Danio rerio: one gene and its partner. The protein of the gene in region 1 purifies or fractionates together with the protein of each later gene. This does not show direct contact. Links are inferred from orthologs where the notes say so. Each region holds a gene or a part of one and is shown in the gene's direction. Other genes may lie near its edges.

Region 1 (3,826 bases):
TTTCAGTGTCATCGAGTGTCAGAATGTTGTGGTACTGCTATTCAGGAGTTATGATTAGGGATTATAGATCGCGGAATTAAGTGGTTTTTATTTTAGCGTGACAGTAAACACGAACGCAGTTAAGACTGTATTAAAACGTGTTTGTTTGTTGTAAAAATTCATAATAATGACAAAAAAATACTAATTTGTGGATCTCCTTACCTCTGGGTTCAGCAATACTGCCGCTGTTGGTGGTGCATTCTGGGAAATTTTCTTAGCCCTTGGTTTCGAGTGTGTTCCTGAAAAATCTCTGTTCAAAGGGCTATTCGCCCCTTCCCCTTAGTCCTATGCCTTCAAGCTAAAGATAATTGGGACACCCCTACCCCTTGGCGTGAATGCGCAAAACAAGGGGTAGGGGTACGGGGTAGAATTGGGATTTGGCCTAAGCCAAAGGAAAGCTCTATAAAACTTAATTTTATAGATTAAAATATAGATTACTTAATTTTTACATGCGATTTGACTTTCACTTTCCCTGACCGTCTTATATTTCGCTCCCAGGAGACCCAGAAGTCTGGTGCCTCATTCAGCACATGTGCTAGTGTAGACTCTCACTGTAATGCATCTAAAACATTGTCTCCTTACTGATGCATCTAGTCATTGACAAGTGAAAGGGTTAAATGAGTTTTGCTCATGTGTTTGATCAGATGATGGATGAAGATGTGCCTGAACCCGAAGAGGAGAGTGATGTGAAAGTGTTGGTGTTGTCTCCACGCTGCTGGGTTGTGTCTGCTCCCTGCTACCTCCAGGACCCCAGCAAACATTTCCCTGCTCAGCTCTGCAATTACCTGGCCGAGTTCACTGACTTTTACACCAACAGTAAGTTCAATTTCCACAGATATGTAAACAATGCTCATCATACAGTTAGTTAAATATATTTAATCTGGTGATTAAAGGTACAGCTCAATCAAAAATGATTAACAAATTAAATCATGTTAATAGAATATTAATGAACATTTCTAGATGAATCCATGAATCTTGGTGATTTATATAATGGCAGTTATCGTTCATTTTTGTGTGAACTACCCCTTTTAAGCCTGAATGTTCATCTGTGTGTCTGTCCCACAGGCCAGCGCATGTATAGCCTGACCCACAGTAAGCCTCGTCGGCTGCAGTGGACGTGGCTCGGCCATGCAGAGCTTCAGTATGGATCCTGCACTCTTTACGTCTCCACACTGCAGATGTTCATCCTGCTGCAGTTCAACCAGCACGAGGTACTCTCAGTACAAACTTAAACACGACATGACTAAATGGACTGGCTTCAGAATTGTTGACGTTGTTTGTTTTCTGCAGGATGTCAGCGTGGAGATGCTACAGCAGGCCACTGGACTCTCTCCAGCCATGCTGAGTCACGCTCTCAAACCTCTCACTGCAGAGAAGGGGCTTCTCACTCACACCGGGTCCAGCCAGGACCCAATCAAAGGTGAAAGCAGCTACCGATAACAACAAAATAAGATGATGTTTATATATTGTTTTTGCAATATATATTTATCTTGTAATTACTCTTAAATGATGATTAGTCAGATTGGACTATTTTTTTTCTTGTCTAGGATGCTATGGGGGATTTATTATTTTAAGTTTGTTTAACAATATCTGTTAAAAGTTTTAAATATACATTTTGTTTTATTACTTTTTTTGACTTATTTATAACTTCTATTACACAACTTTTATAATAACTTAAATTATTAGTGCTCCTGTGAAATATGTGCAGTTTTTTTTTCTTTCGGAGAGGATGCTTTTATTATTTATTTATTTTTTACTGTGACTGAAACAAAAGCAGTTTAAAAAAAAAAAATAGTAATAATTTTTGGTCAGTATTGTTTACCCCCTTCAGATTATTGTTAATATCACCAACCATTCCCATTTTATTAAGGTGCATCTATATAAATGGCCCACCCTGTATAAAAATACATATAAACACATTCAGATCATTTACTTTAATCATTACTTTTAGAATGTGAAGAGACTTTCAACCAGCACAACAAAAAAAAAAATATCTAAAGACAATCACTTACTGCACCTTTAAATTCTTAATTAACAAAAAAACACGTTTGTGTTAATGAATCAAAACTCAATGATTTTGAACTTTTTCAGGCATCCTTAGATTGAACAAAAACACCCTCTCGCAGAGCTCAGACAGACACGGTTACCATTACCTGCATCCCAAGCAGACGTACCTGAATGTAGATGAAGATGCTGCTCTCACGCTCGAGAGGAAGAGGAACTACATCTACTGTCTCATTGTGCAAATCATGAAGAATGAGAAGGAGATGCATATTGACAATTTGGTGTTTCAGGTAAAGTATATTTTAGTTTTAATTTTTAGAATGTTTAATTCTGTCATTGCCAATTGCCTAGTGGTGAGCACATCGACACATAGCACTGAAGTGCTCACGATGACCAGAGTTTGTTTCCCGGCTGGAGGTCCATTGTCAATCCTTTCCCTCTCTTTCTGCTTCCCATGATCTCCTGTCTCCACTGTCCTATAAAACGAAGGTTAAACCCCCCCGACCCATAACCAACCCCCCACCCCCACCACTCCACCAAAAAATATTTTTAAAAAGTATACCACCTTTATTTTTTCATGTTTAAAGAGGCACGAAACATCAGAACACATTTTTTGAGCTGTATTTTTTCATATACGTGTCCCATGCTGCTAATAACTATTAGGACACATCTATTTCACTGAAAAGTGAAATAGACTATTTCAAAACTAATTCGTACTTCCAGTTTGAAACAAATTTTTGAAGCTGCGTCACGGCCATGAGATCTTAGCGTGTATTCCAGCGTGTAGACTGGATGTCTGTACCTGGGGGTACCTTGTGACGTCTCTGAGTGTGCTGCATTCATTCATGTGTAAGACTTGGTTATAACCAATCAGCGCGCTCTATTGTGCATGCGGTGCAACTTTTTTTCTCTCATTCGTCGTGCGGTATCCAACATTGCATTAAAAATACATGCTTACAGCAATTCCTCGAATCGAGAGATCATTTGTCACTAGGGGCATGAATGAAATTCCTGAATAAAAGAGCCAAACTGCAGTTAAAGTCCACCATTTAATAATTTGGCAAATAATTTGATTACCGATGTCCATGTAAACACAGTCACTGTCTTTCTCCCCTGCGTCTCTGTGTTTGTTTGACTGTGAAAATCAGTGCGTGCCCAAACCGACACTCCCATTTTTATGCAAATTTTAACAGACCATCTCTCTTTCCCTCCTCCGACTCTCCCCTCTAAACAGAGCTGGACACGCCCACTTTCCTGACTTTTTCTAAAGTAGAGGTATAAAAAAAACCTTTCAGGGGAGTTTCATGGTCCTTTAATAATATCGTTGTGCCATTGCAGGTGTTGGACCGGTGTCAGAAGCAGGAGTCAAATCGGACTCGCACCTCGGTTCGCTTCAGCTGCAGCACTACAGATGTGCTCTCCTGCATCATGCATGTCATCAACAAAGGCTACCTGCGCCGTAATGATGAAAGCCCACACATCGTGGAGTTCTTGATGGAGGACCCGTCCACTCCCCGTAAGGGCCAGGCACAGTTCTCCTTCAAGATGGATGGAAAGAAAAGCTCCGCAAGCAGCAGCAGCAGCGGCGGCGGCAGCGGGAGCAAAGCAGACACCAGGTGTGCTGATGACACTTAACCTTACCTAACGTGCAAGAAAGGAGGCCCATAACCTGGCTTACATTCAAGTGTTTTCCTTCCCTCTTGGGGATTTGATTTTTACTGAAAAAACAGTTCCACTTCTGCCAGACACTTGCTCTTATCTTGCCATTAGCATTTTGAAAGCT
Region 2 (4,625 bases), on another chromosome or scaffold:
TACCAAATCTGACCTCTGAAGACTACGCTGAATAGTTTAGTCTGCTGAGCGAATCACTGGTACAATCCTCCCGACTTTACAAATACTGTACTTATCCAAAGCGAGCAGAAGGGCTGCCAAAATCACTTTGGACCCCTCACACCCAGCACACAGCCTCACCCTGCCAACTTTTAACTTCTGGTCAATGCTACAAAGCACTATGCACCAGAACAGCCTGACACCGAAACAGTTTCTTCCCTCAAGCAATCTATCTTAGGAGCACTTAATGATAGTACTTGTGAAACGAACATCACTACTTGCTATACACTTTTTATACACATACAGTGCATCTGGAAACTATTCATAGCGCTTCACTTTTTCCACATTTTTTATGTTACAGCCTTATTCCAAAATGTTCTTGCCATAATAAATTATATATTTGTAGAGCAAGCCATTTTCTTTTGTCATTAATATTTTAACAAACTTTAGGTAAAAACCATTTATTGCAGATGAGTTGGAATACTATATCTCTTGATTGTGAAAATTGCAACCATCTGTTAAAAGTCATATTTTTCAACATTTTTGCAATTGAAATCTTCAATACTCAATATAAAATCATGATTTCTGAAAACTACAAAAGTTTCCAGTTTTAGTAATTTCCAAAAATCTTTTTTTTTTTTTTTTTTTTGCAATTGTACTCTTCAAAACACCATATCAACACGATATCTCAAAAATTAGGAAGTTTTGGAGTATTATTTAATATTTTTGTCTATTATGTTAAAGTTAGTAATTAACTATAAAGAGCACCTGCAGATCAGCTACTGGCATTTGAAACAGCCAATTATTTTTTGTAGGTATCGCCACTTTTTATGTTGTTTGTCTTATATTCTTGTCTGATTTTGACCTGCTCCTGCATTTACCCCAGCTATTTGTCTGTTACTTTCTTTATATGTGATGCAGAATTTTCATCCATACTCCAAGCATTGATCAACTCCAATATTTATAAATTTTCTAATCTAATCTAAAGCCATCATGTCATCAAGTAGACTTTTTACAAAGCATTTTAAAAATACAAGAAACTAAAGTATTTTGATACAAAATATTAAGCCTTTTTCATGAACCTAATCAAAGGCAAATTACAAAATACTATTGTATTTAAAATACGTATTTGAAATACATGCATCACAAATACTTCCCATCCCCGATTGTAATAACTAACGTATAATAACTTAAGCCAGTAACTGTTATGCCAATGTACTATACATTTTATATTACATATTTATATTTACATATCTATATTTTATATTACTCACAAACCCTTAACGTTTCATAAGCGATTAAAACTACAGTAAACTAACTAGTCAGGCTTTCTAAAGCCAGATTCAAAGTTAGTCCAGATATCTTTAATCTAGATGTAATTACTACTCAAAATCAAGTGCAAGTGCAAGTGAAGTTAATGCACACCTTTTCGCTTCATCCTCTGCTGAAATAGCTTGGGTTCCCTTTCCACCTAAAATTCAGATTAAACGTACAAACATTTTGTTAAAATTCAAACATATAAATGAAAAAGTCCATGTAACTTTATATATATACCACACCTTTCTTCTTGGACTTTGAGGGCCGACTCTTTCTTGTCACTTCACCGGCATCCATGCTTGTTTTATCAAAACAAAACTCCTTCCGCTTACATCGGAGCACTACGGCAAGCCGTGTGTGACACGCTTCATCCAGCACAATCCGCTTCAGTTTCTAAACATGCGACGCTGCTTGAAGTATAGAACCTGAGTAAGCGCGCTCCTTCAATTTCTATGTCGTTAAGTAGACCTATATAATATTCACAAAACAAAGCAGTAGCCTAGCTTAAACAAAACTACGCGAACGTTTAGTTCTCCTCTCTCTCAACGAACTCAAGTCCTTTAGAGCATTTTAACGTTAGCTATCTTGCTAATAACTAACCTACAAGAAGCAGTTTGACATCTCTTTGAGGACGAGTGAGGTCCATTTATGAATGTTTTGCTTTTATCATCTCGATATGTGTTATTCTGTGTGTGTGTGTTTAATGATGATTGAGTTGGACTGTGTGTGACAGTGAACTGCTTTTTATGAAGATGTCATGATTGATCGTGACGTCAGTGCGAGCTTGTCTTTGCACCATCACTGCTTTAGTATACTGCTAGAGTGACTGTAACATCACATTATCTTCATACAGAAGGCGTTTCGGAGCATCAGCATGGCTCTAGATCAGCTCAGTGATATGGTCCAGAGATGTGTAAGTGTCTTAATGTGTGCTCCAGTACACTCGCATTAAATCACCTGCAGTCATTTACGTGTGTATTCACTCTTTTTGCAGCAAACAGTCAAGGATGAAAGCTTCGCACCAGAAGATTACGATTTGTTCACTGCTGCTGGAAGTACTTGCATTGAGCAAGGTGACAGTGCTCAGGTTCTCAGCATCCTAGTGGACGAGAAGAACCAGGTGAACTTTATACAGTAGCATCTAACCCAAACTCTACTTTGTGAATTATCTATGTACTGTAGAAGATGCATTAAAGGAACAGTTAACCAAAAATGTAAAATTACCCCATAATTGACTCGCTTTCAAGCCATCCTTAATGTTTACTCTTCATTCAGATGAACAAGAGTAGTTTTAAAGGGGTGGTCCACTACGATATCATAATATAAACTTTAGTTAATGTGTAATGTAGCTATGTGAACATAAACAACATCCCTGAATGTTATACGCTCAAAGTTCAATGCAAAGCGAGACATTGCTTTTACAGAGTTAGCTTAGCAAAGCCTACAGGGGACAACAAAAAAATACATCCAGGTTAATGAGCTAAATGCTTCAGGTTACATGCATTTACATCATGCAGCGAAGGGGTGTGGCCAAAGGCGCTGTAATGTTATAGCAGAGAAAGCTAAAATGCCGTCCAAATTTCCTCAGAGCTTGTTCTGTTTCTGCATAAAGAGAATTGTTTACAATTTAACTTAAATATGTTCCAGAAAATTATAAAAAATAAATATAGCTAGCATTTAACAAAGGACAGCTTCTAGAATCTCTCTTAGTTCAGTGCTGGATTTGGCTAAAAACTCCTCAAAGGAGAAGCAGCTCCAACCTTTATAGACTAAGCTAAGGATTGTGAGCCACAACCTGTAAGTGTTTTTATTGGTTAAAATTGATCTAATACATGCACAGTGTCTACCGTTAATGGTATGTTGTAGCAAGGATGTAAACAAGGATGAAAACAACAGGAAATGCTGTTTGGCACCACTAACAATGTAGCTACAAATTTATATTTGTCCGTCAAACTGCTGTAAACAGCCACAATCTTCAGCAGCGCCGCAGTGTCTCTTTATTCAGCCACTTTCCCTGCGTTTTTCATCTCAAATAATGAACTCACAAAAGATATGTGAATGTTTCATATTACTTACACATGCTTATTCCGAATATATGTAAAGGACACTTGTCAGATTTTATTTTAGAGAGCAGGCGTGAGGTTTAGCTGTGTCCTGTTCATTTTCTGTCTGATTCAGGCTGAAACTTACATGGCTAACAGCTACTCTGACTGACAGTATTTATACAGCCGAGGCACAACATGTGCTTGTAAAGGCGTGACACTTTTCCTAGTGATGTGGAGCTGATCTGCGAATAACAGCACATTATTTTAAGTGACCAATCAGAGCCTCTTGAGAGCAGGACTTTTAGAGGAACTAGGAAATATGAGTCGTTTTTTATGTTAGCTGAGTAGCTGTATAAAATCAAAGTTGAATTCTTTTTTTTTTAACAAATGAAGCATGAGCACACATTGCTTTGCATCATATAAACACAACCAAGCCTTAATTACACTTTGGACCACCCCTTTAAATTTACCATGGCTCTTCCATGCTGTATAATGGTGCTGGGAAATGTCACTTTTTTTGAAGCTTTCACAAATCTGTCTAAAACTAACCTATTTACCACCAGGGGGTCAACGCATGTCTTAAGAAGTAGATGAGTGTGTTTTTGTAACAAAAATATTTAGCGATGAGCTGAAATGAAAATTCTGGATGCACTTGGCCGAAAACCAAAACCCAAAATGCTTAAAGTAATTTTGTAAAGCTTTTTAATTTTAACTCAATAACCTATTATATAAATTAGATTAATTATATTACATATATATATAAATAATATTATATAAATTAATGATAATTATAGGGATGCACAATATTGAAATATTTTATTAAATATTTAATATGAGTTTAAAATAATATTTATTTAGTAGTTAGCACTGTCGCCTCAGCAAAAATGTTGCTGGTTCGAGTCCCGGCTGGGCCAGATGGCATTTCTGTGTAGAGTTTGTGTTTTCTCTCCGTGTTTGTCTGGTTTTTCAGTCCAAAGACATGCGGGATAGGTGAATTGTGTAAAATAAAATGGCCACAGTCTTTGAGTGTGTATGTGTGTGAATGAGAGAGTGTATAAAAAATGTGCCAGATTAGTTGGCGGTTCATTCTGCTGTGATAAATAAGGGACTAAGCCAAATGATAGGATGAGTGAGTGAGTGATATTATAATGTTCATATAGGCCCCGTCTACACTAATCCGTTTTAGTTTTAAAATGCATACGTTTTCCTACAGTTATGCCTACAGTCCACACTACCCCAAAGTTT

What was found.
Region 2: the proteins of cul9 (region 1) and glmna purify together in Homo sapiens (affinity purification with mass spectrometry; 3 studies listed by BioGRID and IntAct, counting the BioPlex papers as one, with this or other methods). This does not show direct contact. The link is inferred for Danio rerio from reciprocal best matches to the Homo sapiens genes CUL9 and GLMN.

The regions. Positions count from the first base shown.
Region 1 is NC_133188.1:6,433,847-6,437,672, forward strand, and holds part of cul9 (cullin-9), read left to right. Parts: intron 1-683; coding exon 684-855; intron 856-1,104; coding exon 1,105-1,250; intron 1,251-1,329; coding exon 1,330-1,459; intron 1,460-2,130; coding exon 2,131-2,333; intron 2,334-3,381; coding exon 3,382-3,659; intron 3,660-3,826. UniProt on the Homo sapiens protein: Core component of a Cul9-RING ubiquitin-protein ligase complex composed of CUL9 and RBX1. The CUL9-RBX1 complex mediates ubiquitination and subsequent degradation of BIRC5 and is required to maintain microtubule dynamics and genome integrity.
Region 2 is NC_133177.1:11,244,204-11,248,828, forward strand, and holds the start of glmna (glomulin, FKBP associated protein a), read left to right. Parts: upstream 1-1,711; 5' UTR 1,712-1,983; coding exon 1,984-1,989; intron 1,990-2,184; exon of another isoform or gene 2,185-2,188; coding exon 2,189-2,248; intron 2,249-2,329; coding exon 2,330-2,455; intron 2,456-4,625. Other genes in the region: putative RNA polymerase II subunit B1 CTD phosphatase rpap2, read right to left, coding at 1,444-1,489, 1,578-1,632.